Linked DNA regions of Oryctolagus cuniculus. The protein of the gene in region 1 purifies or fractionates together with the protein of each later gene. This does not show direct contact. Links are inferred from orthologs where the notes say so. Each region holds a gene or a part of one and is shown on either strand. Other genes may lie near its edges.

Region 1 (3,500 bases):
CTCACTGTCCACATCCTCCACCAGAATCCAGAATGCCTCTGATGAACCGTGGACCTGCCAGCACAAACAGGTAAAAGGACTTGAGCCTGGTGGGACCTCAGCACCTCGGGTCCAGCTCCCTCACCATCTCCCTGCCCCTGTCCCTCCCCCTCCCCACCTCCCAGCAAAGCCTTACTTTTTCATCCCACTGGAAATCTGGTGTGATAGTCAGCTCCACTTTCAGGGTGGAACGTGTGATGGGCTGCAAGTGCACTGACAACTCCAGTTTGGGAAACAGGTGGACGTATTTGTGGATAGTCTTCCCCATCTTCGGCATGCGGATAAGCTCACCTAGGAAGAAATGAGAAATAAGGGCTGCAACCCAGCCATACTAGCCTATCTATAAACTAGGCTGAAGACCACTGTGGGAAAAGGGTAGGCTCACCCCCTTTACTCTGTGGAGCCCAAGACCAAGAGCTGGCCTATAGTTCAAGGGGATGTGGGAAATGAACACAGGTCATTGGCACAAGCCCCAGGAACTGGAGAGTGAAGGCTAAGAAAGAAGCCCGGGCTGTGAGGACCAGAGGATGAGAGCTTCTCACACACCTATCTCATTATGATTCAGATCATACAGACGCTCAAAGGGAAAGTTTTTCTTCTCAATCTTCTTCACTACTTCCTCAGGGAGTTTCCGGAACTGGCGCAGAGGACACATCGACTGCCACCTGCCCAGGAAGGCGACAAAGTTGTTGGTCCCCTCTGTAGGACCGTAGCAAATTGCCCTCATTGTCATTTCCAACAGGTTAGCCCCAACCTCACAAGATACTTTCTCATCAGAGAAAGACACTGGAAACTGTGACAGCAGTGAGACCTGAGAGTCAACAGTGACTGCTGTCCCCACTACACCCAGCCCCCCAGAGGGCTTTCCTTCTCCTTAACTTTCACCCGGGTTCACGTCACCCTGTAAGTATCAGGACTAGAGATCAGATGCACTCCAATGCATTCAGTCTGGGACCCCTACAGTGATCAGCCTCAGGCTTGCTGGGCCCTTACATGCGCTTGTCAATCATCTTGCAGAGGTTCAAAGTCTTGTCCGTAAGCTGTGCCCAACCTCGGTTCAGGACAATTTCAAAAATCGCCCGCATCAACCGGCCAGCCGACTGGGGAAAGAAGATTCCCAGTTATGTCTCCATCATCCCTGGGCCTTGTGAAGCTACTCTACCCATGGTTTAACCGCCTTCAGCTCTGATGCAATCACTCATACCAGCCCAGAAACTCGCCCCTGTGGAGTCACTGCTTTCTCCTTTCTAGAAGGTAGATGCTTGTTGAATGCAGACCAGTTAGGAAAGTGCAGCTCAAAGTCACAGCACATCTTAATCTAACATGCACTGCATGATTTTAAGGCTTCTGACTTACTTAGCATTTAGGATTCCAACGTAAGTGAAGGAACTGGTGACCTACCCTTAATGGTGAAGACAAAGGATAGCTAAGAAAATTGTTTGATGTAAGAGCTCTGCAGCTGCAGTGGCAAATCCCTTCTCTGTTGGAAGTGGACATTGTGTCCTATGGACTGCCCTCTTTCTGAAGGCAGATGCAGTCTCCTAGCGTTCCCTCTGAGAGCCTAACCTGTCCCACGTGTTCAGGAGCAGTACAACAGAGTAGCTATACCACATATGCATTAACCAACTAGTCAATCCAGGCAGAGCAAAGCATTCCTTCTAACTCACTAGCGCCGGGCTTCCTTTCCCCACAACACCCACAGCACACAAATGACTGAGAATGTTTGCCCCCTTCTCACAGCCTCAGCACAACTCTGCCCTTACCTGGGTAACATACACCATGTCAGCCATCAGAGCAAAGCCCTCCAGCTTCAGCTGTGAGATGAAGGCTTGGAGAAGCACATTGATCTGGAAAGAAGCAAAGAGGCCAGCAGGAGGCCAATCACAAATAAGCCATGGCAGCAAATTACCTTTCTGCTCTGGCTCCATGCCAGGTCAGATCTTCTACAGCTCTTGATGTACAGACAAGAAATAACTGTTACTACATATAAAAATGTGAGAAAGATGCAAAAACTGGGAGAACTGAGTCGGTTACCAGACACAAGCTCAAATTCAAGGTTCAACTTTTGGAAGATTATGCAAACTGATCCTTATATCCTGATCCTTATCCCAAGCAAAGAGCAGATGGGCTCACCTTGGCACTGGGCTCCTCAATGCTTTCCTTTACAGGAATGGGCACCCTCTCCAACAACTTCTGAAGCTCCAGCTTCTCCTCCTACCACAAGGAGCAAATTGGTCAAGGAACAGCCAAGTGGCCAAGGAGAGAAACCAAGCGCCTTGTCAGTGAATCCCAACTCCCCATTCCAGCACGCTGCACAGGCTCACCTCTCGCACGGTGATGTTCTTGAACTCTGAAGACAATGAGAAGACTCTGAAAAGTTCAATCTCACTCAGGGTAGGTTTTAGCAACTGGTTGTAGGTCTGCACTGTATCATTGGTAATGTAATAGTGGCTGGCTATCCGGCCCAGTTCTGTCACCTGGAGACAAGGGAGACTTGATCAAACACCAATGATTAATGAACTCCAAGCTCCAACTGTGGACAGCAGGTTAGTGTTTTAAAGGTAACTGTTCTAATTGGACAACTGGATGAACTCATGGCAGTATAAGTGCCTGGCCCAGGAACATGAAGACGGCATGATAAACTGACCTATATTGAAGTGATGTCATACAAACCAGACAGCTGAATTATCTACCTAACTCAAGTTATGGGAAAAGAAGCCATATTTTAGAAATCCCTAGTTTCAAAGATTACAATCCAATCCCATCATTGCCAGGCAGAACTCAGAGAGGGCATGTGAAAACCCTGCATCTTTTGCTGAGACCTTCTTCTCAAAACCCTCACCCGACTCACCTGGAAGTTGCCTGTCTTCTTATCATACTTGACCAGGTTGTTTTTGTCCAGCATCAAGGCAGCAGTGTGAACCAGATCCAGTCGGCGCTGGTCCAGCAGGGGATCTCCCTTAAGGTCATCATGAGAGATGCCATAGAGAGTAGGGGATCGGAGCATTCGGATGTACAGGTAGGCGTAGCCCAGCCAGTTCACTGCATCCTGTAAGAGACAGCTTGCGGTTCTTACCACAGACAACTCCTGATGTCCAGATGAAACACTCCCATGGATCGCTTAGAGATTCCCAACTACGAAGCTGTACAGCATTTTCTGAACACTTAGAATACGTCACTATTAAATGACAAGAGTCCTTTCTAAGCTCTTGGTAACAAGAGAACTATCTGTCACAAACCTGAGAAGCTGACACTGGGGCAGGCAGTGGAAGGCCCTGGATACTGCTGCCCTGAAGCACATGATGACGCACATCGCACCCCAGCGCCGCAGTCTCCCTGAGGCACTTATGAAGCACCAAGGGCTCTCTCCTACCTTTGCATTCTGGACATTTCCCAGCACGATCTCTGCATTGAGCATATCCGGCAGCTTTGACACCATCTGACTCTCGATAGGAAGCTGC
Region 2 (4,148 bases), on another chromosome or scaffold:
CATCCTAGCAGGGGCTACCCGACTGTGTTTTGTTCTGTGCCTGGCGACATTACCCTCGATCGCCTGATTAGGGCCTTTCCCCTTGGTTGGCTGAGAAACGGTGCCTGCCAAAGAGGGTCCACTGTCACCACTGCTCCATGCCGTGCTGCAGGTCCCAGCCAGTGTGAACAGGGATCCAAAAAGAAAAAGCCAAAGAAAGAGCAAGTAAAATACAAGGGGCTGGCTGTGTCCCGTGGGTTTCACTGCCGCCTGCATCCCATGTGGGCTCTGGTTGGAGTCCCAGCTGCTCCACTTCCGATCCAGCTCCCTGCTAACGCACCTGGGAGAGCAGCAGAGGATGGGCCAAGAGCTTGTTCCCTGCACCAGTGGGGGAGTCCTGGAAGAAGCTCCTGGCTCCTGGCTCGGGCCTGGGCCATCCCCAGCCGTTCTGGCCATTTGGGGAGTGAATCAGTGGATGGAAGATTCTCTCCTTCTCTGTCTCTCCCTTTCAAATAAATAAATCTTAACAAAACGAACAAAAAGATAGGGTCTGGCACTGTGGCGTAGCAGGTAGAGCCGCTGTCTGAAGCCCCGGCTGCTCCACTTCCGACCCAGCTCTCTGCTCTGGCCTGGGAAAGCAGTGGAAGATGGCCCAGTGCCTGGGCCCCTGCACCCGCGTGGGAGACCTGGATGGAGCTCCTGGCTCCGATGGGACCAGCCCCAGCCGTTGCCGACACTTGGGGAGTGACCCAGTGGATGGGAGGTCTCATGCTGTCTCGGTGACTCTCTCAAATAAATAAATCTTTTTATATATATAAAAAAAAGTTAGTTAAAAATGGAATTTCTGTAAATGGCCTTTACAGTACCATCCAAAAAACTACAAATATCTAGAGCTGCAGGCGCGGGCCGAGCCTGCGGGGAGAGGGCGGCGGCGGCCACGCGCGTCACGGGGCAGGCTGCAGGACGCACGCTTCCAGTCTCTCAAGGTCGGGAGACCCCCGCGGGCCTACCGCAACCCCACCAGACCCGGGCTTGACTCCCGGGGCCGGCCCCGCCGGCGCCAAGCGGCCACGCACACCCTCGCTCCCACTGCGCGATGCCCTAGTGTGAGAGAGGTCCGCGGGGCTCTTCCCCCGGTTTTCCTAACTTTCGGACCCAGACGTCTAGAAGCGGGGCCCCCCACCCCCACCCCACCCCACCCGACCCGACTCCAGAAAGCCCCGGGCGGAGAACCCCGCGCCCGGCCCGTCCCCAACGCCAGCACGGAGCGCCGGCCGAGACGACCTCCCGGGGAGGCGTGGCTCTTCGATTGCTTCGGGCTGGCGGTCGATCTGCGATTGGTGCGGCCTGGCGGCGGCGCGGGGCATGCCGGGACGTGTGCTCCGCGCGCGGCGGCAGCGGCAGGCGGGGGCGGCGGCGGCGCGGGGCGGCTGGCGGCGGCAGCATGGTGAAGCTGACGGCGGAGCTGATCGAGCAGGCGGCGCAGTACACCAACGCCGTGCGGGACCGCGAGCTGGACCTCCGCGGTGAGTGCGGGGGGCGCGCGCCGCGGCCTCGCGGCCGTCCCGCCGGCGGAGCCTCGAGCTGGCTTCCGGCCCGGCGCGTAGCGTCGCGCGGGCCTCGCGGGCGGGAAGGCGGCCCCGGCGGGCGGGAAGGCGGCCCCGGCGGGCGGGAGCTGCTGGGCTGGGATCCGGGCGGGAGGAGGCGGGGCCCCGATGGTTTCTCACCCGATCGTTCCCTTCCGGGAAGCGGCCTTGAGGTGGAGCCGTCTCGCCGAGCCTGGGCGCGTGGGGCGCTCTAGAGGCGTCGGCCCGGACTCGGCTTCCCGGGGATGGGGGCCGGGCTCGGCTTCCCGGGGATGGGGGCCGGGCTCTGGGGGCGTCGGCCCGGACTCGGCTTCCCGGGGATGGGGGGCGGGGGCCCCGGACTCGACTTCCCGGGGATGAGGTCGGGCTCTGGGGGCGTCGGCCTAGACTCTGCTTCCCGGGGATGGGGGCCGGGCTCGGTTTCCCGGGGCGGGGCCGGGCTCTGGGGGCGGGGGCCCCGGACTCGGCTTCCCGGGGATGGGGGGCGGGGGCCCCGGACTCGGCTTCCCGGGGATGGGAGGCGGGGGCCTCAGACTCGGCTTCCCGGGGATGGGAGGCGGGGGCCGGGCTCTGGGGGCGGGGGCTCCGGGCTCTGGGGGCGGGGGCCCGGACTCTGCTTCCCGGGGATGGGGGCCGGGCTCTGGGGGCGGGGGCTCCGGGCTCGGCTTCCCGGGCTCTGGGGGCGTCGGCCCGGACTCGGCTTCCCGGGGATGGGAGGCGGGGGCCGGGCTCTGGGGACGGGGGCCCCGGACTCGGCTTCCAGGGGATGGGGGCCGGGCTCTGGGGGCGGGGGCCCCGGACTCGGCTTCCCGGGGATGGGAGGCGGGGGCCGGGCTCTGGGGGCGGGGGCCCCGGACTCGGCTTCCCGGGGATGGGGGGCGGGGGCCCCGGACTCGGCTTCCCGGGGGTGAGACTGCGGCGCTGGCCGGAGGTTGCCCGCGGGCGCCCGTTGGCTGTGCTCGCGGCCTGGACTCCCCGCTGACCTTCGGGGGAAGCCCCGGAGCTGCTATTTTGTAGCGAAAGGCTCGGTCCGAGAGCAAGCCGCCCCTTGGGCCGCTCCCAGGTCTGGTGGGCGCGCCGTGCTGAGCAGCTCTGGATTGGAAACGGCCTGGCCGCGGCCCTTCCCTCCTCCGCTGGGCACCGAGCGCAGCAGTAGGCCCCGGTTAGAGCGGTGGGCTTTCGGGCGAATTGTTCACAGGGCGTCGCCTTCAGGTCTGGATTGGCGCTGGGGAGGTGAAATAAAGGGCTGTGGTGACGGCATGAGCGCGTCCCGGGAGCCTAAGGGCTGTAGTGGCGTCATGAGGGTGTCCGGAGAGCCTGTGGACTCTGGTGACGTCATGAGCGTCCCGGGGAGCCTGTAGACTGGTGACGTCATGAGCGTCCCCGGGAGCATGTGGGCTCTGGTGGCGTCATGAGCGTCCCCGGGAGCATGTGGACTGTGGTGACGTCACGAGCGTGTCCGGGGAGCCTGTGGGAGAGGTTGGGGACCGTTGACAGTAGGGCCTGGGCCTACTGCAGCGGAAGGCGAACCGTTGGGCGGCCCCGCCAGCGTTCTTCGGAGCCTCGTCAGGCGCCCCTCACGCACGTCCTTGCCGTCAGCCTCGCGCGTCCGCAGCTGGAGCCGAGCCTCGCGGCGCCGGGGACTCGAGACCGCCCGCTCTCGTGTGCGGTGGGTGCGCGCAGTGTTCCTCACTGGCAGGTGTGGGTGCTGGACACCGCCGGCGGCCCGAGGGCCCTTCGGGTCCTGTTCATGCCTCTCCCGCCCCGCCCTTCTGTCCGCAGGGTATAAAATTCCTGTCATTGAAAACCTGGGTGCTACCTTGGACCAGTTTGATGCTATCGATTTTTCCGACAATGAGATCAGGAAGCTGGATGGGTTTCCTCTGCTGAGAAGACTGAAAACGTTGTTGGTGAACAACAACAGGATATGGTGAGTGCGCCGGAACAGCGTGGCCTTTTCTCCGCTGCTCGCTCCTGAGAAGCTGTAGTGAGGCCGGGTAGACCTACTTGATTCCAGGGTTCTGCGGGCACCTCCTGCAGCAGGAGGCCTGGCCAGCCGGAGCTGGGAGCTGGAGCCGGCCGGATGGCTGCTGTGGGTGCGTGCGCTGTCACCAGCCCCTGGGGCCTGCAGCAGCAGCAGAGCTGGCATTGGCGCCACAGCTGGGCGTTTAACCCGGGCGCTCGAGTGTGGAGCGCAGTGTCTAACTGCCTGGCTCACACCTGTGAGCCAGTCTTCTTCGAATGAGAGATGGGGTGCAGCTTTCCAGGGATCCAGGGGTTACTTTGACATTGGCCTAGGCGTATTTGCATATGTTCAGAAATATTTACATATTCATAATTTCTAATTAAAAGTGTGCTGTTTTGTACATGTTTTGGCTTCTAAAATAGTTATCAAAGGGATTGTATAAAAAGCTTTATAAAGCTCAGTAATTGTGTTTTTATCACATGTCTACCTCCTGCCTTCTGCTTTACTTTTCTTCAGTTAAACTGGTTTCTAGAAGATTTGCTGAAATTGGGATCGTTTTAGCCCTTAAGCTCTGTGTAAATTTTATTGGAAAAAATTTATTGGCTACTTGTAGAGAA
Region 3 (4,142 bases), on another chromosome or scaffold:
AGTTGCTGAACACATAGGGAGATCAAGTACACATTGGGAGTTATGAGAAAAATATTTGACTAAATACACAGAATATAAAGTATAGTCATTCTAAAGACACTACATTGTGGGGCTGGTGCTGTGGCATAGTAGGCTAAGCCTCTGCCTGTGGTGCCAGCATCACATATGGGCTCTGGTTCTTGTCCCTGCTGCTCCTCTTCCAGTCCAGCTCTCTGCTATGGCCTGGGAAAGCAATAGAAGATGGGTCCCTGCACCCGCGTGGAAGACCCGGAAGAAGCTCCTGGCTCCTGCTTTCTGATCGGCCCAGCTCCCACCATTGCAGCCATTTGGGGAGTGAACCAGTGGATGGAAGACCTCTCTTGCCCTCTCTGTCTGTAAAGCTACCTCTCAAAAAATAAATTTAAAAAAAATCTTAAAAATATCCTGTTGTATCTGAATAATTTTTATGCCAACAAATGACATCAGCATTATTAAAAACACCTAAAAAGTTCCCATTTCAAGATAAAAAAATTATCAGAACATTCTGTAGTTTTTCCAGAAGACGCAAATGGAGAAATGAAAAAACCTAAAGAGCAAGGCACTATATAAAGACCCAGGACTTTCCTCATCCATTAACTAAATATTTTCATATTTCCTAGGACTGGCGTCAAAGCGATGTTCTGAAATGGGAAAGATGTCTGAGTAACTCGGAAGTGGGGTGGCGGAGAGCTGGACAACCCTTATCCAAGGTTAGGTTTTGGTTTGTCACAGCTAATCCTGCCCCTCCGATTGCTGAAGCCGGTGTTGCTGGCTCCACTTTTCAGACGAGCACTCTGAGATTCAGCACGGGTATTACCCACGCTGACGAGACAGCCAAGATTCCGGCCCAACTCGAGTCCGGCTCCCTTAATACCAGCGCCCATAATGGTCTTTGTTATTAATTCACACAGACTGAATGGCGATGGATGAAAGACGCTGAGGGGACATCGGTGGGGGCTTCCGGGACAGCCGCTGCGCCCCTCCCCGGGGGCAGGTGGAGGCGCTGCCCTCCTTGGAATCGCAGCGGCGCTTTTTGGGAACAGTCGTCTGTCAGACCCTGCACTCCGCTGAGGACCTCACTTCTTAGCAGAACCCCACTGGGTGGGGGCTATTATTACTACTCTGTATTACAGGTTGGGAAACTGAGCCGCAGATAAGCTGTTCTCTTCCTCCTGCGTACTCGACTAGCGAAACGCTCAATAAAGCGCTAGTTCGCGACGCTTTCTCCGGACCGGCTACTCTGCAAGGCCACACACAACCCGTCTGCACCCCCACCGCCGAGTGACGTCACGATGACCAACCCCACCGCGACGCCGGGCCGGCCGCCGCTGCGGATGTCTCGCGAGAGCCATGGCTTCCTCCAGCCTGACTTGGACATGCGCGCGGCGCACGGCGCTACGGCCACAGCAGTTTGATGGTTTTCTGTCAGTCTGTACACTAGAGCTTTGAGAAAGCACTTCTAACCTTTCAGCCTCCCGAGATATCGCGAGACTTGCTATTCTGCCACCGCCCCCCCCGCCACCTCCTTGCGCCTGCGCAGATCTCTTCAAAGCAGAAGGTCGCGCTTGGAGGAAGTGGCGGCTTTGGGTCCCGTGACCGGAGCGCCGTTACTACTTTTCTGAAGCTCCTCTCGGCCGCTTGCCGAGACCACCTGTCGCCAAGATGCCTCGAATTATGATCAAGGGCGGCGTGTGGAGAAATACCGAGGTGAGTCTCTTTTCCCGCCGTCCGCTGCCCTCCGCCCCCTCCGGCAGCTTGTGCGCACGCGCGCGCGCGGGGGCCGGGGAGCGGACGAGGATGCCCTGCGGGGTCTGCGTGGGGTGGGCCGGGCCGCGCAGCGCCAGGGCCGACGACCCTCGGCGCCTCAGCGCTGTTCCCCGCCAGGGGTGACGGGAGCGCCCCAAGGACCGGCGGCTCGGCTCCGAGCTCACCGTCAGGCACTTGTTAGGCCCTTAGCGAACATTTGTTGAGTCGAGGCCGCGCCGCCCCGGCCCCCTTTCCCCGAGGTCCCCACTGGGTGGCAGGAGGGGTGGGACATCCAGGAGAGGTGATCTTCCGGGACGCTACCCCCCCTCAGCTCGCGGCTGTCTCTGGCACCCCAAAACTAAAGAACTTGGTGCAGCCACAACTTTGTTTCTTCGCTGACTTCTTGCAGAGAGGGGAAGCAGCTTGCATACCGAGTTCTCGGCGCCCGTTTCTCCTGCATCCGTCGGTTTATCCGTCAGCCAGGCACAGCCTGTGCGCGCTCTCCCGACAGATGCCAAGGCCTGTCTCTCTCTTAGCTTCCCGTCTCTCCGCCTTGGCATGGCTTGAAGCCAGATAGGACAGACTGCTGCGGGTAGTGTCGTAGTGGATCGTGCCATCTGAGAGCCGGAGAGCAGTAGAAAGGGAGCAAGACAGAAATGAGATTTGAGTGCGTTTCGTGTCGAGTGCCCTGGATCGATCAGTTTCTGAGCACGGCTTATCTCGTGTCTTTTATTACCTCTGTGCCTCCTTGCGGTATCCTCGACCCGCTTGGCATCCTCCTGACCTGGTTCAGAAGCCCTTGGCGGCCAAATCTTCGCCTGTTCAGCCTGTGAGCGTTGGTAGCACCCCCCTGTGGGCCCACGGTGCCTGTCATCCACTTGTTGTCGGCTTGCTTTGACTTTTGCCAGTGTCACATCCTTGGGAGTGATGCTGGCAGGTTTCTCCATTTCTCCAAGCCTTAGATTCCTCATGTTTCTGTGGGGATTAAGTGAGCTGCCACATTTGGGACATTTGGAACAGTCGGGAACACAGTAGCCTTTCAGCCAGTGCTAGGCACCTCTTACCTCTCCAGACAGCACTGGGGGAGGGGAGGGGAACAGGTCCTGCTCTTCCTGGAGCACAGGAGAGTAACCAGCGTGAAGTAGTAGGTTGCTTGGCAGATGTTTGTGGAATGCATCTCGGCGGGTACGCGGGACGTAGCTGTGATCTAAGTATTAGAGGTGCAGCACCACGTGACAGATGAAGGCAGTGCAAGTCCCCTCCCTTGTGCTGAGGGAACTAGGCTGTTTGAATGGAGAGGAGTTGACTTGTGAGGGAGAGACCCGTGAAAAAATCAAGTAGTAGCAGGATTCCTGTGCTACGGTCAAATCTGCTGACAGATTTCTACAGTTGGCTGTGGAACAGAGCCTGCAAGTGAAATGTCTCAAGTGCATTCACATCTGGCTCCATCGTCCTCCGCGCCAGTGGCTTGGCTTGCCAGGCTGCTCTGGGATTGGTACATTCCGTGTTTGGGTGGCAGCCCTGGTGAAATAGTATCTAGAGTCTGGGGGAGACTGGAGAGAGATGACTTGGGAGGGGTTGTGGAGAGAAATATTTGAATCTCAGGTTAGAACTGAGATATGGTCTAATCTGAGATGTGGATTCTTGGGTCGTGGTGGGGCGGATGGGGCTGGGGAGGAAAGGCCGTGCTTGAACTGGAGGCAGGAAGTGTGAATTGGAGAGTGGTTTCATCTGAGTCCCAACTTGCTTTTTGAGGCCTGGATGTGTCCTATTCGATTCTCTCCCCAAGTATACAAGACCTGGTGCAAGGCAAGTGTTCAGGAAGTGTTTTCTGAGTGAAGGTGTAAATGAATGAGCTGTGCCTGCTTGAAGAATGACAGCCACATATTGGAGAATACTTTTTGTTAATCTCTGTCCGAAAGTAGGGTTGCTCAGAGGTGGTTGTTCCCACACACAATTGGGTGTGTGTTTATAAGGAACAGTAAGATGTCCTAAGGAATTTCTTAATTTCTTGCATTTTGCTGGTTGCTTACTGTTTATCATTATGGTCAGTGAGGTTTTTTGTGTGTTTAAAAATTCTTATTTCTTAAGTACATTTGAAATATTTATTTTTTTAAAAGATTTATTTTTTATTTGTTTGAAAGAGCGATGGGGGTAGGGAGGTGGCAGGGAGAAGAGATCTTCCATTTGCTGGTTCACGCTAGGCCAGGAGCCAGGAACTCCATCTAGGTCTCCCATGTGGGTGGCAGGGGCCCAAGCACTGGGGCTGTCTTGCACTGCCTTCTGAGGCACATTTAGCAGGGTGCTGGATTAGAAGTGGAGCAGGTGGGACCTGAACTGATGCTCCAAGATACAAGATTCCAGCATTGCAAATAGAG
Region 4 (2,566 bases), on another chromosome or scaffold:
TGTGGCCATTTTGGGGAGTGAACCAGCCAATGAAAGATTTCTTTCTCTCCCTGTTGCCCTGACTTCTGAATAAATAAATACATTTTAAAGAAATCTCTCCATATCCCTGTGCTCTCACCAGGCAAGGCACTTACCCAGGGTCACAGAATCAGTCAGGTGATGGGTGACCCTGGCCTGCATGTGTCACTGCTCCCCATGGACCAAGAGCCACATCACCATCCTTGTTCTGTGGGCCATGGCATGCCGAAGGCATCCTGTGTGAATCGGTTAAGCACACTGGGCTACACCTTTGTAGGACTCCAGTGTTTTCCAAGGACAACACAATAAAACACTTCTGAAAAGCATAAGGAGATTCTATTACACGAAAGATATGATGGTGGTAAGTTATAAACCCTGGGAATCCTTAGAGCAGAGAGGAGCCACGTGGCGCTGTGCCAAGTTCCCACTGCCTGGAGTGTGCACAGGGCACGCGGGCCAAGAGACAAGTCTCATTACACCGATTTCACAAGAAAGATCCAAGAAGTTTATTAGACCACAGCAAAATACGAAACTCATTAACGACCATAAAAGCCATACTCAATCAGTCAAGTGCCTCTTGGCACAATGCACCTATCCTGTACGCCATCCCTGGATCTCAGCTCCAACTAACGAGTGCCTTCAAATCAAGACCCTAACACAATGGGATCCCAGGGAGTAGCTTCAAAAGTCTTGCTACTATTACTAACATGGGAAGGAGTCCGGGGAATGAAATGCGGCAGGACATTCTGAATGTCCAGAGAGGGCCTGTGTGTCTAGGACTGGAGTGGGGGACAGGAGACACAAAACAGCAGGGACCTGACAGCAGGTTTCTCTCTTCTACTTCTTCCTGCCGCCTCTCTCCTTGAGGGCCAGGTGGATGATGGCGCCATTGGCCATGTTGTAGTAAGCCAGCGAGTTGGAATCCTTGATGAAGATGCCCTGGAAAGAGACAGTGCGCCTTGGCGTGAGGTCCCTGGCCTTGGACACACAACGTGGCCTGTCCATCTGCATGGCACACCTAGCAAACATGAGGGCTTGAGGGAAGGCGGGGGACAAGGGACTGAAGGGCTCTGGCTCTACCCAAAATGCTTTTTCCTTCCTTCCAATCAACTGATGGACGCTCTTCCCCTTTGTCAATGTTTGGCTCAAAGCTCAACTTCCCAAGAAACTGCCCGACCAAGGCCATGGAGACCTTTGGAGATCACCTGAGCAACAGCCTCGCTTTGCAGGAGGAAACTGAAGCCCAAGGCGGGATTTGGTCAAGTCCAAAAGGGTGAACACAGCACGACTATGTGACCCACCAGGAAGCAGGCAAGGCTGGACTACACCACCTGAGGTCGCCCTGGCTGGGATGGCCTCAGCTCTGGGTCCATGACCTAGCACAGCACTCCCGAGGCACACCCCCAGATCCTGTCCCCAGTGCTCGGGGCAGAGGGTTCCCTGGACTCCACACAAGATGGACTGCCGGAGCCTCACACTGGCACGCTCTCCAGCTCTGGCACCCCCGCCAGCACCTTCACTTCTGGGACAACTCAGAGGATCACTGCCCATCTCCCTGTGCATGGGGGACTTAGCTTCTGGCACAGCAGTGTTGGGACCTAAGGGAAGGGACTGGCACGCTCTGACGCACCTCGTACTGCAGTTTCTGTTTCCCTGCAGGCATGCCTGTAGCTTCGTGAATCTTCACTTTGATGACAGAGACCTGTGGGGCCAAGGAGAGGTCATTCGTGCCCTTGCAAAGGCCAGCAGAAGGAAGCTGTCCCTTGAACCCTTGGTCCCCATGCACGTGATACCGCTGGTGGCAGCAACCCCTACCTGGTCTGTGAGAGGCAGGGTGAAGACCAGCACCTGCCCATTCAGCTTCCATTCCGTCTTATCCTGCATGTTGGGCACCTGGACTTTGATGGACACTGGACCCTGCAAAACAGAAGGGGATCATTATGCCTGGGGACCCCTGAGCCAATCAGGAACTATGTTCTGCCATCCTGAGGGCACCTGGCTCTGGCCTGATTCTCTACTGACACACTTGTCATATTGTACAAGTCACACTCCCATATCAAGATGTGCTTTCTGTTTTCAAGTCCTCCTGCGAGTCTAGAGCTGAAATGAAGAGGTTGGGTAAAAATGCTCTGTGACACCCAAGAAGCACAAGTGTAAAAAAAAGTGGCCTGTAAAATCCAGACCTGATTCCCAACTCGGCTCATAAGGTCTCAGCCTGCCTGTACAACAGAGCTGATCAGAGCGACAGCAGAGCCCTGCGGTGAGCCCCACACGGAAAAGTGTCCCAAGGTGAGCTCCACCCTTGCACTTCGCTAAGTGCCCAAAACAGGACTCTCTTAAGAACGAAAACAGAAGATTTGGTCAAACGCACTGAGCCGTCAGGGGCTGCGGCTGTTTCTCGCCTCCTCACTGGAGCCCAGCAGCTTCCCTGGGGTGCAGCAGCACCACGGTTCCCACCTTCCTTTACTCTAGCACCCCAGCAAGGGCGAGGACTGCAGGAAAGGCCACACTGAGTTCATGAACCACACCCGGGCTTGCTTCAGGTGTC
Region 5 (4,015 bases), on another chromosome or scaffold:
ACCCACGGGGAGGCCAGGATGGAGTTTCGGGGTCCTAGCCTTGGCCTGGACCAGCCCCAAGCGTGGCAGCCAAGGACAAGAGCCCCCGGCCCGCCCTTCATCAAGTCGTCTCTGTAAGGAGAGCCCTCGGGGTCGGGGCAGACAGAACCCGCAGCCCCCAGCACCGCCAGCGGGGAAGTGAAAGAAACGCCAGACTCGGCGGAGAGCTGGTCCCCACCCGACAGACACGAGGCCACGCAGGCTGTGGGGCCACCCAGACGCCCCCCACACCCAGGCTGGCCCGGGCACCTTCGCCGCCGCCTGTCCCGCGAGGCGCTCCGCTGGTCTCGGTTGCGCCGGTCCCGGCTCCGGCTCCGGCGCTTGCGGTCCCGGCTTCGCGAGCGGCTATGACTGCGCTTCCGGTGCCGGTTCTCCTTGTCCCTCTCTGCGCAAGGCGAGAGGCAGGGGCTGGGCTGAGTGGAGGGAGGACGCGGGCCCAGCCCACCCTGCACGCTGGTGGCTACGCCCAAGACCCAGGGAGGCCACCCCCAAGGGCAGGGACTGCAGGAGGAAGGGAGAGAAGAGGCCTCCTGGGTCCACAGCAGAGGGGACCGCGGACAGGGCCTGCTAGTGCCCCGGGGGTGAAGATACCTGCGGATGCTCAAGGGCTGAGGAGCCAGAGAAGACAGAGGAGGCTGGCTCCTGGTCCCCCTCGAGGGCTGAGGGGCCTGACCCCAGGGTCGTCCCTGAGAGGGGCAGGGCTAGACGCTGGGGAATCAAGAGACCCAATGATGCTTTCCTGAAGGGACCCAGCGACCCCTCAGGAAAGACGCGGGCACCGGCTGGCACCCACAGCCCCCCACGTCCGGCCCAGGAGCACGGAGCCAGGCGTGATGTGATGTGCCCGGATGCAGGACGCTCGAGTCATCCCTCTCCTGCAGGCAGGCCACGCGGGACCAATATGCCTCCATCCCCTCGGGGCGAGGACCAGGGACTCCAGGTCCCGCCAGGACCTCCGCAGGACACCGCGCGCCCCGGCACGGGCCCGACCGGGCCACCACACGCAGCGCAGGACAGGTCCACGCCCCCGTGGCCTCCGTGTCACACACTGTCCAACGTGGCTGCGCGTGCTCTGCCCCCAACCACGCACGCTCAAGCACGCACAACCGGGAGCACCGCCTGCATCCCCAGCCAGAACCTGCACCCAGGCTCGGCCACAGGACGGGCGGCCGGGACGCGCGCCAGCAGCCTGCACCCGCCACTGCTGGACACGGGGCCGGCGGAGCAGACAGTCCGCCTCCAACCTGCACGACGACACTCCCTCCGCGGAAGGCAAAGACAGAGAAACCCCGCTGGGGTGCGGAAGACAGAGACGAGGGCGCCGGCCCGCAGCCAGCACGCGAGCACCGCGCGGGCGCCGGGCGCCGGCCCCAGCAGCTCTGCTGCCCACGGGGACCGGCCCAGGAGGCGTCCCGCCGCCGAGGCTCAGCAGCGCGCAGGAAAGGGACGCCCGCGGGGCGCCCGGACGCAAACAAGGAAATCCCCTAGGCACAGGTCGCCAAGAGACGCAGGGAGACTGGCGCGCTGGGACAAAGACCCACGCACGGCACGGGGCACACGTGGGCCCCGGAGGAGGCGCCGCACACCTGCCGGACTCCGCGCCAGCTCCTCCCCGCTGACCGCAGGACGCCACGCGAACGCGACCGGAACTTGGCTCGAGCAGGCGCCGTCCCGCCCCGCGCGCCAGGTGCGCCGAGGGCCTAGCCGACGGCGGGAGGGCAGCCGGCCCGGCTCGCCCGACTCCGTGTCCGCCCTCCGAGCCCCTCCCGCAGCGGGGGGACCCGGGCCGTGCTCGCGAGGAAACGCGGGCGGACCGAACAAAGCGCCGGCCCCCAGCGAGGGGCGCAGCTTCCCTGCAGCGGGGCTCGCTCGCCCCATGAGGAATCTCTACAGCCAGAAACATTAGCAAAGAACACCGCACCCTCGGTACTCAGGCGGCAGGCAGGCCGCGGGAGGGGCGGGCTCCGTCCACCCCCGCCCCAGCTCGGGCCTGGGCCCCTGGACCTCCGCTGCTCCCGGCGCCCTCACTCTCGCCGAACGCGAGAAGCGGGCACGCAGCCCCGGGCGGCGGGGCGCTGCCGGGCACTGCCTGCCTCGGCCCGCAGCCGCGCCGTCCCACCTCCGCGCGGACACGCAGGAGGCCCAGCTAGGGGCCCCGGTCCACGCGAGGGGGAGGGGGCCGTCCCCGAGACCGCCATTTTGAAACAAAGGGGGCGTGGAGACGCAGCCCCGGCACAACCGGAAGCGGAAGAGTTGCAGCAGCGGGCGAAAAAGAAGGGGATTACAGGATCTAACATACTAATCGTCTTTGCCAAGAAAGGGAGAGAGCGAGCAGAGCTAGGGTCGACGACTCCGGCGCCAGCGCGCCGCGTCCCCCTTCGCCACCTCCGCGGGGACCACGTGGGCGCGGGCGGGCGCCGTGCGCATGCGCCACGGGCCCGCGCCCGCCGCCCCTGCCCCTCGCCGCGCCGCGGGCGGTCACGTGAGCGAGGCGCGCCGCGGGAGGGGGGGTGGATCGCGCGGCGCCGAGGAATGGGAAACGAGGGGGAAAATGGCGGGGGCCGAGGAGCCAAGCGAGGAGCCACCCCTCCCGCGCCGCCCCGCCACCCCGGCGCCCTCACCTTGTTTATTCTCGTTGAGCTGCCGCTCGAACTCGTCGAAGTCCGACATGCTGAGGCGGCCGCGTCGGGCCCTGTGCAGCGCTCGCCTCGCCTCGCCGCCCGCCCGCTCCGGCCGCTTCGGCTACTTCCGCCGCTAGCTTCGGCTACTTCCGGCCGCCGCCGGCGCTGTACCGCCTCCTACCTAATCAAGCCCCGGCAGCCCGCCCCGCCCAGGCTCCGCCCCTCGCCCCGCCCGACCCCCGCGAGCCCCGCCCCCGAGCCTGGCTCCGAAGCGCGTCGGCTCTTTCCGGACGGTCGGCCTCGGCGGTTTCCGAAAACGCCCGAAGCGAGGACCTGGCCGGCGTCTCGGGTTTCCGTAACTTTCCGGAAGTCAGCGCCTCGCCGTCCGGCTGTGTTCGCGGGTCCTCGCGTCCCTCGGCGCAGAGCCCTCTCCGCGGGTTCGGCTCCTCCCGACAATTCCAACCGCCCCAGTCTCTCCCTCTGCAGATCCGCCGCGCTGCTCCGCCGGACCCGCCTAAGCAATCGGCCACTGCCGACGACCTTTCCGAGGGTTTCGGCGCTCGCCAGAGGCTTCGGCTCTTTCCGGAGAGTCCGCTCGCGCACTCCTCCCCTACCGGAGAGCTTCGGCTCCTTCCGCCGCGGCTTCGGGAAGCCCCTCCCTCACGGAAGCGGCTTCGGCTCTCTCCGGCGGCGCTTCGGCTCCTTCCGGCGGCGGGAACCGAAAAGGGAGGGAGGACGGAGGCGAGGTGGGTCCGGGGCCCGGGTCCAGAGAAGGGGGCGGGGTCCGGGCTCTCGGCACCTGGCTCTCCCGATGGGAGAGAGGAAGGAAGGAAGGGCCGACTCTCCGGAGCGCCTGAGGCGGCTGCGCGAGGCAGCAGCAGCCTTCGGGCTGGAGGGCGCGCGCGGCCGCTGCGGAGGTTGCCAGCGCGGCTCTGCGCGCCTGCGCAGGGGCTGAGGCGGGCTATTGCGGCTGCGCGGAGGTCGGTCTGAGGCGGGGTGGCGGTGTCGGGTTCCAGGGCCCCCACTGCGCGTGCGCGAGGCTTTCCCTGCCTAAAAGGAGTCCGAGTTCCCGACCGTTAAGCACGACCGCCCGCTCCCGGTTGTCTTGGCAACTGCGTCCGCGCTCTCGCACCCCTGCCGCCGCGCGCACGCGTGGAAGGCGGTGGAAGCACCACTTCCGGGACGCGGCCAACGTCGCGCTGCTGCCCCCTGGCGGCAGACGGCCGCCGTGCCACGCCGCGCCGCGCCCGGGGACCGCCCATGCCGGGGGTCGTCGGGCCCCGCGCCGCTAACGCACGGCGCCGCCCCCGGGGGGCTCGCCCCACCCTGTGCTCCCCAACCCCTCGCTTCCCCTC
Region 6 (4,141 bases), on another chromosome or scaffold:
CTCTCTGTGTAATTCTGACTTTCAAATAAATAAATAAATCTTTTTTAAAAAAATTAAAAAAAAGAGAATTCCTGCTCATCCTTGGTCTTCGAGACGTCCCACTAACACCTGCAATTCCTGGGCCCGGGGCTCAGGTCCCCAGCGGCTGTGAGGACAGAGGAGGCGAGGTCAGCACAGCGAGAAGCCCGCGCAGGCGCAGATCAGGGCGGGGCCCACACAGGACACCTGCCAGTCAGGGAGGCGGGAAACGAAGGTGAGGAGGGTTCAAGGCACCGGGGAGAGACCACGGCAGAGGAAAAAGCGTACAAACACATAACAGTCTGAAGGGCTGTGGAGACGGCCCCCGGCTCCTGGCCGTCAGCACAGCCGAGGCCCTCGCACACCACTAAAGGCATTTTATTGGGAAAAACAGAAATTGAAAAGTAGCCTCCAATCTTCTCCCTGCCCAAGGCAGCTGGGGGCCGGCTCCCCCAAAGTCCAGCAGAGAACGGGGGAGGTGGGGGGGGCGCCCAACTGGGCCCTCCGCAGGCTCAGGTGTAGAGGTCGAAGTCGATGCGTTTGGAGTTGTAGAACTGACCACCCGGGGGATCCAGCTTCCGGCAGTAGACTCCGTCTGGGAAGTAGCCTTCGCTCACCCAGGTCTGCAGGTAGACAGGGCGGGGCTGACACGGCGGGGCGGGGCGGGCCGGGGGTGGGGCGGGGCGTGCGGGGGAGGGGGGGGGGCGCTCACCTGCATCTGGGCACTGGTGAAGGGTCCGTAGAGCTCGGCCTCCCCGGTGTTCTCCCACTTATATTCCCACATCACGTCCACCAGGCCGTCGCCCGCCGACTCTGCCTCTGCAACCAGAGGCGGAGCCGATTGGAGCTCCACTGCCCGGCCTCCAGTCCACACCGCTGCCCCTCCTCTGCCCTCCAAAGCTCACCTTCTCTCTGGGGAGGGGTCGGGGTCTCCAGCTCCCCCTCAGCCACCTCCTCCGCAAACATGTCCAGGGAGGGCGGGGGCGTGGAATCCTGGGCCCCCTGGGTCCGACACCCCAACCCCTTCAGCCGCATGGCCAGGCGCTCTCGAGTTTCCTGGTAAACGCCAAGGTTGCCCCGGGCCACCATCTGGTCAGCCAACCCAGACAGCCGGTCCAGGCGCTGGGGGGAACTGGGCCGCCCGGGCCCCTTGCTGTTCCCTTTGCCCCCTCCTCGGGCCCCCAGCCGCCTCAGTGCCCCGGCCACTGTCTCCCTGGGCAGCAGCAGCTCTAGAAGTCCCTCGAGGAGGGCTTGGGCGCTCAGTGGTGTCTGGCCCAGGCTGTCCTCCTCCTCCGAGTCTGAAGCCCGGCGCTGATCCGGGGGCCGCTCCCTGATCTTCACCTAGAATGCAAGAAAGGGGTCAGGGTCGGGGGCTGCAGGGGGTTGTTTCCTACAAACCTGCTCCAGGAGCCCAGATCCAGCCCCCCCACCCCACCCCAGCCGTGCTGAGCCCTGGGCCGCACCCAATCAATATTGTCCAGCCAGCTGTCCTGGATTTGAGCGTCCCGGTTCAGGAAGTAGTTGCCATCGGCATCAAAGTGGCCTTCCTCCATCTCCTCCTGCAGGTTGAAGGGAGTGATGCGCACCCCTCCCTCACTGGGGAGCGTGGCTGCTTCCTGACCTGCATCAGAGACAGAGTCGCCCCATGCGAGGCATGCAAAAAAAAGAGAGAGACAGGAACCTCCCTCCCTCAAGTCCCCACTCGTCCCTCCCTGGGTGCTACTCACCTTCCACATCCTCTGAGGCCAGGATGTCATACTTGCTGGACCCCTCGTCGTCATCATCCTCTTCATCGCTGTCCAAGGAGTGCTTGCCTTTGAAGCGGCTCCCGGGACCCCCGGGCCCAGTCACGGGGTCCACCAGCTGAGAGCAGGAAGGGAGAAATGCAGAATTCTCAGCTCCTCCCAGACTCCAGCATCTGCACCCAAGCTGAGCACCCTCCAAACCCAGTCCTGGGGGACCTGCCCTCCTCTTCAGGCTCCGCTCTGCCTCCCCTCCCCCCAACAAAACGGTCTGGCCCCCTCACCTTCTTCCTGGGAACACTGACTTCATCCTCATCCTCGTCTCCCACGCCTTGGAAGGTCACTTTCCGCTTTGGCATGACGGGCCAGGGGGGCTTCCCTTAACCTGATGGGGGAAAAGTTGCAGAGGAAGCGGCCTGAGCGGGAGGCCACCCACTGCAAGAGAACCCTGGCCACAGGACACGCTTCCTGGTGCGTGCCAGGTCCATTGGGAGGGAAGAGCACAGAGAATCGGGGGCCAGAGCGGGAGCTGCAGCCCGGAGGCTCCCACGGCCTCGGCTCGCCATCCCAGAGCTAACGGAGCTGGGACGCCAGGCCAGACGCGGGGAGTATCCCCACCCCGACGACAGGGGCCCGGCTCCCCCACGTGACCACGCCCATATCCGGCCTCCGCAGTCTGAGCGCTACCGGGCTCGGCGGGCACACACACCCGCTCCCGCAACCCCAAAGCCCTCGGAGCCCGCGGGGCCCGGGCCGACCCAGGACCTGGCGCTCCCGGCCGCTCTGCTCCTCCTCCTCGCGCCGAACTCCCAATTCCACGTGGTTGACCCCCCAACTGTCCCGGGGTGTGTACAGATTAGAGGGCGGCACAGCCACGGGGACTCCGGCAGCCAGCCCCGCGCGCGCTCACCTGGGGATCTAGGGGAGGCAGGGGAAGAAAAGGAGAGATGCTTTCACCAGGGCTGTATCCGGGGCACCTGGCCGCCATCACCCGGAAGCGTACGGCGGAGGCCGGAAGTGGCTTCACTCCACTTGAAGGACTAACAGGAAGAGCGGGCGGAAGTAGGTAGTGAGCTAGGCGGCAACCTCCAACCCTGTCCCCCGCCAGGAGTGACGTGAGCCGCGCGGGTCTGCAGCGGCGAGGAGTGTGCGGGCGCCTAGACCCTGATCGGCGCGGAGGATGCCCCGAAGTGGCTTCGATGCCCTCACGCAGCCTCTGGGGGATGCAACTCCACTTAGAGGGGAGCCCAGGGTCAGGATGGAGGGGCAGAGGAGGAGCAGAGCCGATGGGTTCCAGCCCCAGGTGCCCCTTCCGGGGTTCGCACCACCGTTTCCCGCAGACTGGCCAAGTGCCTTACACTTGTCAGAGCTGCGCCCTCTCCTAGCGTGAGGCGCGGCCCTGCTCTTCTCCCTAAGGGAAGCCAGGCTCACCTGATGGCCTCTGAGGGCACTTGGGACACTTTCAGAACCCAGCCGCCTTTAGGACCCAGGGGAAATCACGTGCTCCACGCCTGTCCGCGGAGCCAGTTCCTGATTTCTGAGGCGGGGCAGCCACTGCTGCAGAGGTGGCATTGTCGCGGGTGCCCTGTGGCCAGCCCAGAAGCCCCTGTGCCTGCTCTCAGGTAGGCCTAGGAAAGGGCAATGGTCCCTCCGGCACCACAGCGGTGGGATGAAGCCCCCGCCCCCTTAGCAATCAGGGCCCAGCGACCCTGCCTAGGTGATGGGATTTGAGGCGGGGAGGTGGGCGGGCCTGGCCCTGGGTGGTGGGACAAGACAGCTAACGCCCAAGGGTGTGCAGGCCAAGACTGTGCCCAGGCAGAGCCTGCTGGAGCTAGGAGGGCGTGAGCATCCTCCCAGGCAACCAGGGGACCACTCCTCTCTCCCCCAGGGTCCCTCCAGGGCCACCACCATGAAACTGCACCGCAAGTCTGTGCTCAGTTTCTTCCAAGGCTGCAGAGCCCAGGCCCCAGACCAGGAGGGCATCTTGCTGAAGAAGGGGGCCCGAAACAGCAGCTACCAGCGCCGCTGGTTTGTCCTCCGTGGAAACCTCCTCTTCTACCTGGAACACCAGGAAGCCCACACTCCCCTGGGCCTCATCCTGTTGGAGAGCTGCCGGGTGGAGCCTCGCCTTAAGGCCGCAGAGCCCTTCGCCTTCACCATCGTGACCCCCGGGGGAGAGGGCACAGGGGGGCGGGCCTACAAGCTGGCCGCAGAAAGCCAGGAGGAGCTGAGGGCTTGGCTGTGGGCGCTGGCCGGGGTGAGCTGGAGGCGGCTGGCTAGGCTGCTTCCCCCCATGGAGGCCCAGTACCGGGAGCTCTGCCAGGCGGCTGGCCAAGAACCCAGGTGCCCCGCCGAGGACTGTGGCTTTCTAGCCATCCTCG
Region 7 (4,101 bases), on another chromosome or scaffold:
GCCGGGCCGGGGTCAGTCCAGCGCGTCCAGCCCGGGCCCGGGCCCGGTGCCCGCCGGCCGCCCGTCGCTGGGCGGGCTGCTGATCTGGAAGCGGGCCTCCGCGGAGATCCCGAACTGCTCCAGGGGGTCCTAGGGCGGCGGGCGGGGAGACGCGGTGACCCGGGGCCCGGGGCCGGGAGCCCCGCCCGCCCGGCCGCCCCGCACGCGCCCCCCGCACCTTGCCCGTCATCTTCTGGATCTCATTCCGGTAGAAGATGAGGCTCCTCCGCATGACCTCGTAGCTGCGGGAGAGGCCGTGCCCGCGGGGTCAGGCCGCCGCCCCCGCCGCGCCCGCCGCGCCCGCCGCCCCCGTCGCGCCCGCCGCGCCCGCCGCGCCCGCCGCCCCCGCCGCCCCCGCCGCCCCGGCCCCACCTGGCCCTGCGCAGCGCCTCCGTCCACTGCCGGCACTGCTCCTCGCTGCCGCACTCGAACACGTACTTCCTCTCCGGGTCCTCCAGGAAGCCTGCGGGAGCGGCCGCTGTGGGTGCCCGCGCCCGCCCCGCGCCCGCGCCGCCCCGCCCGGCCCGCGCACTCACCGATGGAGAAGCTCCGCGCCTCCTCCTGGGCGACCCGGCAGCGCTCCAGCAAGAGGGCTCCGACGGGCTGCGGGCACACGCGCCGTGAGCGGGGCCGCCCCGCGCCCGCGCGCCCCGCGCCGCGCCCCGCCCCCGCGCCCCGCGCCCCGCGCCCACCTCGGCCTCGTCCGTGCGGAAGTAGAAGAGGAAGTTCACCACCAGCTTCACCAGGCGCCGCTTCAGCACTGCGGGCACACAGCGGGCTCAGGGCGGCCGCGCGCCCCCGCGCCCCCGCGCCCCCGCCCGCGCCCGCGCCCGCTCACCGCTGCCCTTCTTGGGGCCCCGCATGCCCAGCTCAGCCGCCATCTCGGCCGGCTGCCGGGACAGCGCCTGCAGCTCCTTCTCGTTGTAGCGCATGGCGCCGGCGCTGCCCGGGACCGGGAACGCGCGCTGCTAGCTCTGAGCCCTCTCGGCCGCCGTCCCCGCTCGCGCCAGAAAGATCCCAGGTCGGAGCCCCGGAAGCGCCATTGCGCCTGCGCGCCACGGGCGAGTCTTGCGCGCTGCGACCGCGGCGTGCTGGGGCGTGGGTACACGCCGGGCAGCCGCGACACAGCCGCGGAATAAAGTGGGTCTGAGGCGCAAGCAGGATCGAAGGACCGCCGAGCGCGGGCGGACGGGGCGTTACCGGTTCCCGCCCCCGCCCCCAAGAGCCGACGCGGGTGCGCGCGCGGAGCGCGTTGTGCGCAGGCGCGCCTCGGGCACGCGCATGCGCACACTCGAGGGCCCGTCCTCCCTCCGGAAGTGCTGCGAGCGCCCGCGCCGCGCGTGCGCACTGCGACGTCGTGGCGGCGGCTCCTGAGGCGGACGGCGGAGGCCTGCGACGCGGGGCGCGACCCACACGAAGTAGGCGCGGGGGCCATCGGGGCCCCGGGGCGCCCAGGGTGGGCTGGGGGCGCGGGAGGGAGGGGCCGGGGCGGGCGGCGGGCCCCACGGCGACCCCGGCCCTCCGGAACTCCGCGGCGGGCGTCGCGGGGGTCGCGGGGGTCTCGCGTCCGTCCGGGGCGGGCTCCGGGGTCCGGGGAGCGGCCGCGGGCCTTCGGCTGCTCGGCGGGGCGGGCCCGGGCCGCGGGGCCGCGCGCGGGGGTGCGTGCCGGCGTTCCCGCCAAAAGCCGCCGGGACCCCCGAGGCCGCCCCCGCTGGCGCCTTTGTCGTCGTGGGGGTCGGTCGCGGGCGCCCGGGGGGCTGCGGGGCGTCCCGGGTGCGGACGGCGATGCGGCTGCGTCTTAGATTTCCCTCCCGCAAGCCTGCGTGCCCGGGGCCGCGTCTTCCCCTCGGTCCGCTGTCCGACTGTCCCTTCGCGTGGTTCCCCCTCCCCCAGCCCTGAGGTCCTGGGTTCGCGTCCCGATGGAGGGGCTGTGGGGCCGCCAGGGCTCGTGCGTGGACCGCGGGCGGGCCCGGGTCGCCCTGGGGTCAGCCGGGGGCGGCTCGTGCGTGGACCGCGGGCGGGCCCGGTAGCGCCCTGGGGTCAGCCGGGCCGCCCGCGCCGTGCCCGGAAGTCGGGGTCGCAGGGGCGGGGTCTCCTCCCGCCGGTCCAGTCCCCGGAGGCCGGGCCGGGCCGGGCCGGGTCAGAGCAGGTGCGGGGCCCGGGCCGGCAGCCAGGACTCGGGCCAGTGCCCGAATGGGGCCCGAGCGGCCCCTGCCGTCCACGGGGAGGCCCAGCCCTGGCTTAGGGGCATTGGGGAGTGGACGGCGGGGGGGCGCCAGGCGGTCGTCCGCGCCCCCGTTCTCCCCGACGCCCGCGGCTGGGCCCGGCGGCTGACACGGGAGAGCCCGCGTGGGTGCGCCCGGGAGGGGCTGGGGGCTGCCTCCTGGGGTCTCCGGCCCCCGCCGCGTCCTGAGGGCCCCCCCCGGTCTGGGCTCCGCAGGCTTCTCCGGCGCTGAGGTCCGCAGGCCGGCACCATGGACTTCCAGCACCGCCCCGGCGGCAAGACCGGGAGTGGGGGCGTGGCCTCCTCCTCCGAGAGCAACCGGGACCGCCGCGAGCGCCTGCGGCAGCTGGCCCTGGAGACCATCGACATCAACAAGGTAGGGCCGCCCGCCCGCCCCCCCGCGGGGCGCCCCCGACGCCCCCGACGCGCCCGACGCCCCCGACGCCCCTGACGCCCCTGACGCCCCGCGCCGCTCTCCCCCAGGACCCCTACTTCATGAAGAACCACCTGGGCTCCTACGAGTGCAAGCTGTGCCTGACCCTGCACAACAACGAGGTACTGGCCGGCCTGGTACCCTGCCCCCGCCCCTGCCTGCCCCCGCCCCGCCCACCGGCCGGCCTGAACCCCTCGCCCCCGCCCCGCCCACCGGCCGGCCTGGCCCCCCCCCTCCACCGGCCGGCCTGATCCCCCCCCTTCCCGCCCTGTCCACTGGCCGGCCTGGTCCCCCGCTCCTGCCTGCCACCGGCCTGGCCCCGCCCCCAGCCGGCCTGATCCCCCCGCCCCCGGCCTGACCCCCGCCTGCCGCTGCCCCACCCCCCGGCCGGCTTGGTCCCCCCCTCCCGCCCTGTCCACTGTTCGGCCTGGTCCTCCCCCACCCCGCCTGCCGCTACCCCGCCCACCGGCCTGGCCCCGCCCCCGGCCTCATGTCCCGCCTCCTCCACGCAGGGCAGCTACCTCGCACACACTCAAGGGAAGAAGCATCAGACCAACTTGTGAGTGCCCCCCGCGCCCCCCGGCTGTGACACGGGGGAGGGCCCCTTGACCCGCCCCCCAGCCGCAGGGCCCCGCCCCTCACCCCCCCCGCGGGAGCCCAAGGCCGGGCAGGGGGGCTCCTGCACCTGCGCCCGTGGCCTTGGCCTGGTGTGGAGGACCACAGCGCCCGTCTGCCCCGCCCCAGGGCCCGGCGCGCAGCCAAGGAGGCCAAGGAGGCGCCCGCCCAGCCCGCGCCCGAGAAGGTCAAGGTGGAGGTGAAGAAGTTCGTGAAGATCGGACGCCCTGGCTACAAAGGTGAGGGGGCGGGGCCGCCCGACACCAGCCCTGGGCGGGGGGGGGGGGGCAGGCGGGGACAGGCGAGGCCCTGGGCAGGGAGGGGCAGGCGGGGACAGGCGAGGCCGTGGGGCTGTGGGCAGGCGGGGTCCTGGGCACGGAGGGGCAGGCGGGGCTGTGGCGTGCAGCCCTGGGCCGGCCCTCTGAGCTGGGACCTGGGCCTCACCTGCCGCCCTGGGCGGGACGTGGGGCTGCGGGGGGGCCCCTCACCGGCCCTGGTGTTGCAGTGACCAAGCAGCGGGACACGGAGATGGGCCAGCAGAGCCTGCTCTTCCAGGTGGGCGGGGCCGCGGGGTCGGGGGGGGGGCCGCGGGGGCGGGGCCGGGTGGGGGCTGCGGGGGCGGGGGGCAGTGGGGGCTGGGGGCCCCTGACACTGCCCGCCCGCAGATCGACTACCCCGAGATCGCCGAGGGCATCACCCCCCGGCACCGCTTCATGTCGGCCTACGAGCAGAGGATCGAGCCCCCGGACCGGCGCTGGCAGTACCTGCTGATGGCCGCCGAGCCCTACGA

What was found.
Region 2: the proteins of SNRNP200 (region 1) and SNRPA1 fractionate together in Homo sapiens (co-fractionation; 3 studies listed by BioGRID). This does not show direct contact. The link is inferred for Oryctolagus cuniculus from reciprocal best matches to the Homo sapiens genes SNRNP200 and SNRPA1.
Region 3: the proteins of SNRNP200 (region 1) and CDC5L fractionate together in Homo sapiens (co-fractionation; 4 studies listed by BioGRID and IntAct, with this or other methods). This does not show direct contact. The link is inferred for Oryctolagus cuniculus from reciprocal best matches to the Homo sapiens genes SNRNP200 and CDC5L.
Region 4: the proteins of SNRNP200 (region 1) and SF3A1 fractionate together in Homo sapiens (co-fractionation; 3 studies listed by BioGRID and IntAct, with this or other methods). This does not show direct contact. The link is inferred for Oryctolagus cuniculus from reciprocal best matches to the Homo sapiens genes SNRNP200 and SF3A1.
Region 5: the proteins of SNRNP200 (region 1) and U2AF2 fractionate together in Homo sapiens (co-fractionation; 3 studies listed by BioGRID, with this or other methods). This does not show direct contact. The link is inferred for Oryctolagus cuniculus from reciprocal best matches to the Homo sapiens genes SNRNP200 and U2AF2.
Region 6: the proteins of SNRNP200 (region 1) and CD2BP2 purify together in Homo sapiens (affinity purification with mass spectrometry; 8 studies listed by BioGRID and IntAct, counting the BioPlex papers as one, with this or other methods). This does not show direct contact. The link is inferred for Oryctolagus cuniculus from reciprocal best matches to the Homo sapiens genes SNRNP200 and CD2BP2.
Region 7: the proteins of SNRNP200 (region 1) and SF3A2 purify together in Homo sapiens (affinity purification with mass spectrometry; 4 studies listed by BioGRID and IntAct, with this or other methods). This does not show direct contact. The link is inferred for Oryctolagus cuniculus from reciprocal best matches to the Homo sapiens genes SNRNP200 and SF3A2.

The regions. Positions count from the first base shown.
Region 1 is NC_091433.1:111,293,521-111,297,020, reverse strand, and holds part of SNRNP200 (U5 small nuclear ribonucleoprotein 200 kDa helicase), read right to left. Parts: coding exon 3,413-3,500; intron 3,089-3,412; coding exon 2,891-3,088; intron 2,517-2,890; coding exon 2,364-2,516; intron 2,254-2,363; coding exon 2,173-2,253; intron 1,887-2,172; coding exon 1,803-1,886; intron 1,140-1,802; coding exon 1,033-1,139; intron 705-1,032; coding exon 586-704; intron 331-585; coding exon 176-330; intron 55-175; coding exon 1-54. UniProt on the Homo sapiens protein: Catalyzes the ATP-dependent unwinding of U4/U6 RNA duplices, an essential step in the assembly of a catalytically active spliceosome. Plays a role in pre-mRNA splicing as a core component of precatalytic, catalytic and postcatalytic spliceosomal complexes.
Region 2 is NC_091443.1:10,490,476-10,494,623, reverse strand, and holds the start of SNRPA1 (U2 small nuclear ribonucleoprotein A'), read left to right. Parts: upstream 1-1,348; 5' UTR 1,349-1,423; coding exon 1,424-1,505; intron 1,506-3,347; coding exon 3,348-3,495; intron 3,496-4,148. UniProt on the Homo sapiens protein: Involved in pre-mRNA splicing as component of the spliceosome. Associated with sn-RNP U2, where it contributes to the binding of stem loop IV of U2 snRNA.
Region 3 is NC_091436.1:125,737,836-125,741,977, reverse strand, and holds the start of CDC5L (cell division cycle 5-like protein), read left to right. Parts: upstream 1-1,342; 5' UTR 1,343-1,680; coding exon 1,681-1,725; intron 1,726-4,142.
Region 4 is NC_091452.1:23,643,511-23,646,076, forward strand, and holds the end of SF3A1 (splicing factor 3A subunit 1), read right to left. Parts: intron 1,936-2,566; coding exon 1,834-1,935; intron 1,721-1,833; coding exon 1,649-1,720; intron 958-1,648; coding exon 856-957; 3' UTR 501-855; downstream 1-500. UniProt on the Homo sapiens protein: Component of the 17S U2 SnRNP complex of the spliceosome, a large ribonucleoprotein complex that removes introns from transcribed pre-mRNAs.
Region 5 is NC_091449.1:3,337,062-3,341,076, forward strand, and holds the start of U2AF2 (splicing factor U2AF 65 kDa subunit), read right to left. Parts: upstream 2,801-4,015; 5' UTR 2,710-2,800; coding exon 2,661-2,709; intron 425-2,660; coding exon 289-424; intron 1-288. UniProt on the Homo sapiens protein: Plays a role in pre-mRNA splicing and 3'-end processing. By recruiting PRPF19 and the PRP19C/Prp19 complex/NTC/Nineteen complex to the RNA polymerase II C-terminal domain (CTD), and thereby pre-mRNA, may couple transcription to splicing.
Region 6 is NC_091450.1:6,706,452-6,710,592, reverse strand, and holds CD2BP2 (CD2 antigen cytoplasmic tail-binding protein 2), read right to left. Parts: upstream 2,801-4,141; 5' UTR 2,671-2,800; exon of another isoform or gene 2,526-2,670; intron 2,415-2,525; exon of another isoform or gene 2,146-2,414; 5' UTR 2,120-2,145; coding exon 2,045-2,119; intron 1,882-2,044; coding exon 1,746-1,881; intron 1,640-1,745; coding exon 1,482-1,639; intron 1,360-1,481; coding exon 924-1,359; intron 838-923; coding exon 731-837; intron 642-730; coding exon 531-641; 3' UTR 314-530; downstream 1-313. Other genes in the region: sesquipedalian-1, read left to right, coding at 3,670-4,141. UniProt on the Homo sapiens protein: Involved in pre-mRNA splicing as component of the U5 snRNP complex that is involved in spliceosome assembly.
Region 7 is NC_091447.1:59,110,277-59,114,377, forward strand, and holds the start of SF3A2 (splicing factor 3A subunit 2), read left to right. Parts: upstream 1-1,301; 5' UTR 1,302-1,457; intron 1,458-2,081; exon of another isoform or gene 2,082-2,188; intron 2,189-2,479; 5' UTR 2,480-2,513; coding exon 2,514-2,639; intron 2,640-2,746; coding exon 2,747-2,818; intron 2,819-3,208; coding exon 3,209-3,255; intron 3,256-3,440; coding exon 3,441-3,550; intron 3,551-3,816; coding exon 3,817-3,866; intron 3,867-3,976; coding exon 3,977-4,101. Other genes in the region: PLEKHJ1 (pleckstrin homology domain-containing family J member 1), read right to left, coding at 13-129, 218-281, 412-502, 576-642, 732-799, 878-971. UniProt on the Homo sapiens protein: Component of the 17S U2 SnRNP complex of the spliceosome, a large ribonucleoprotein complex that removes introns from transcribed pre-mRNAs.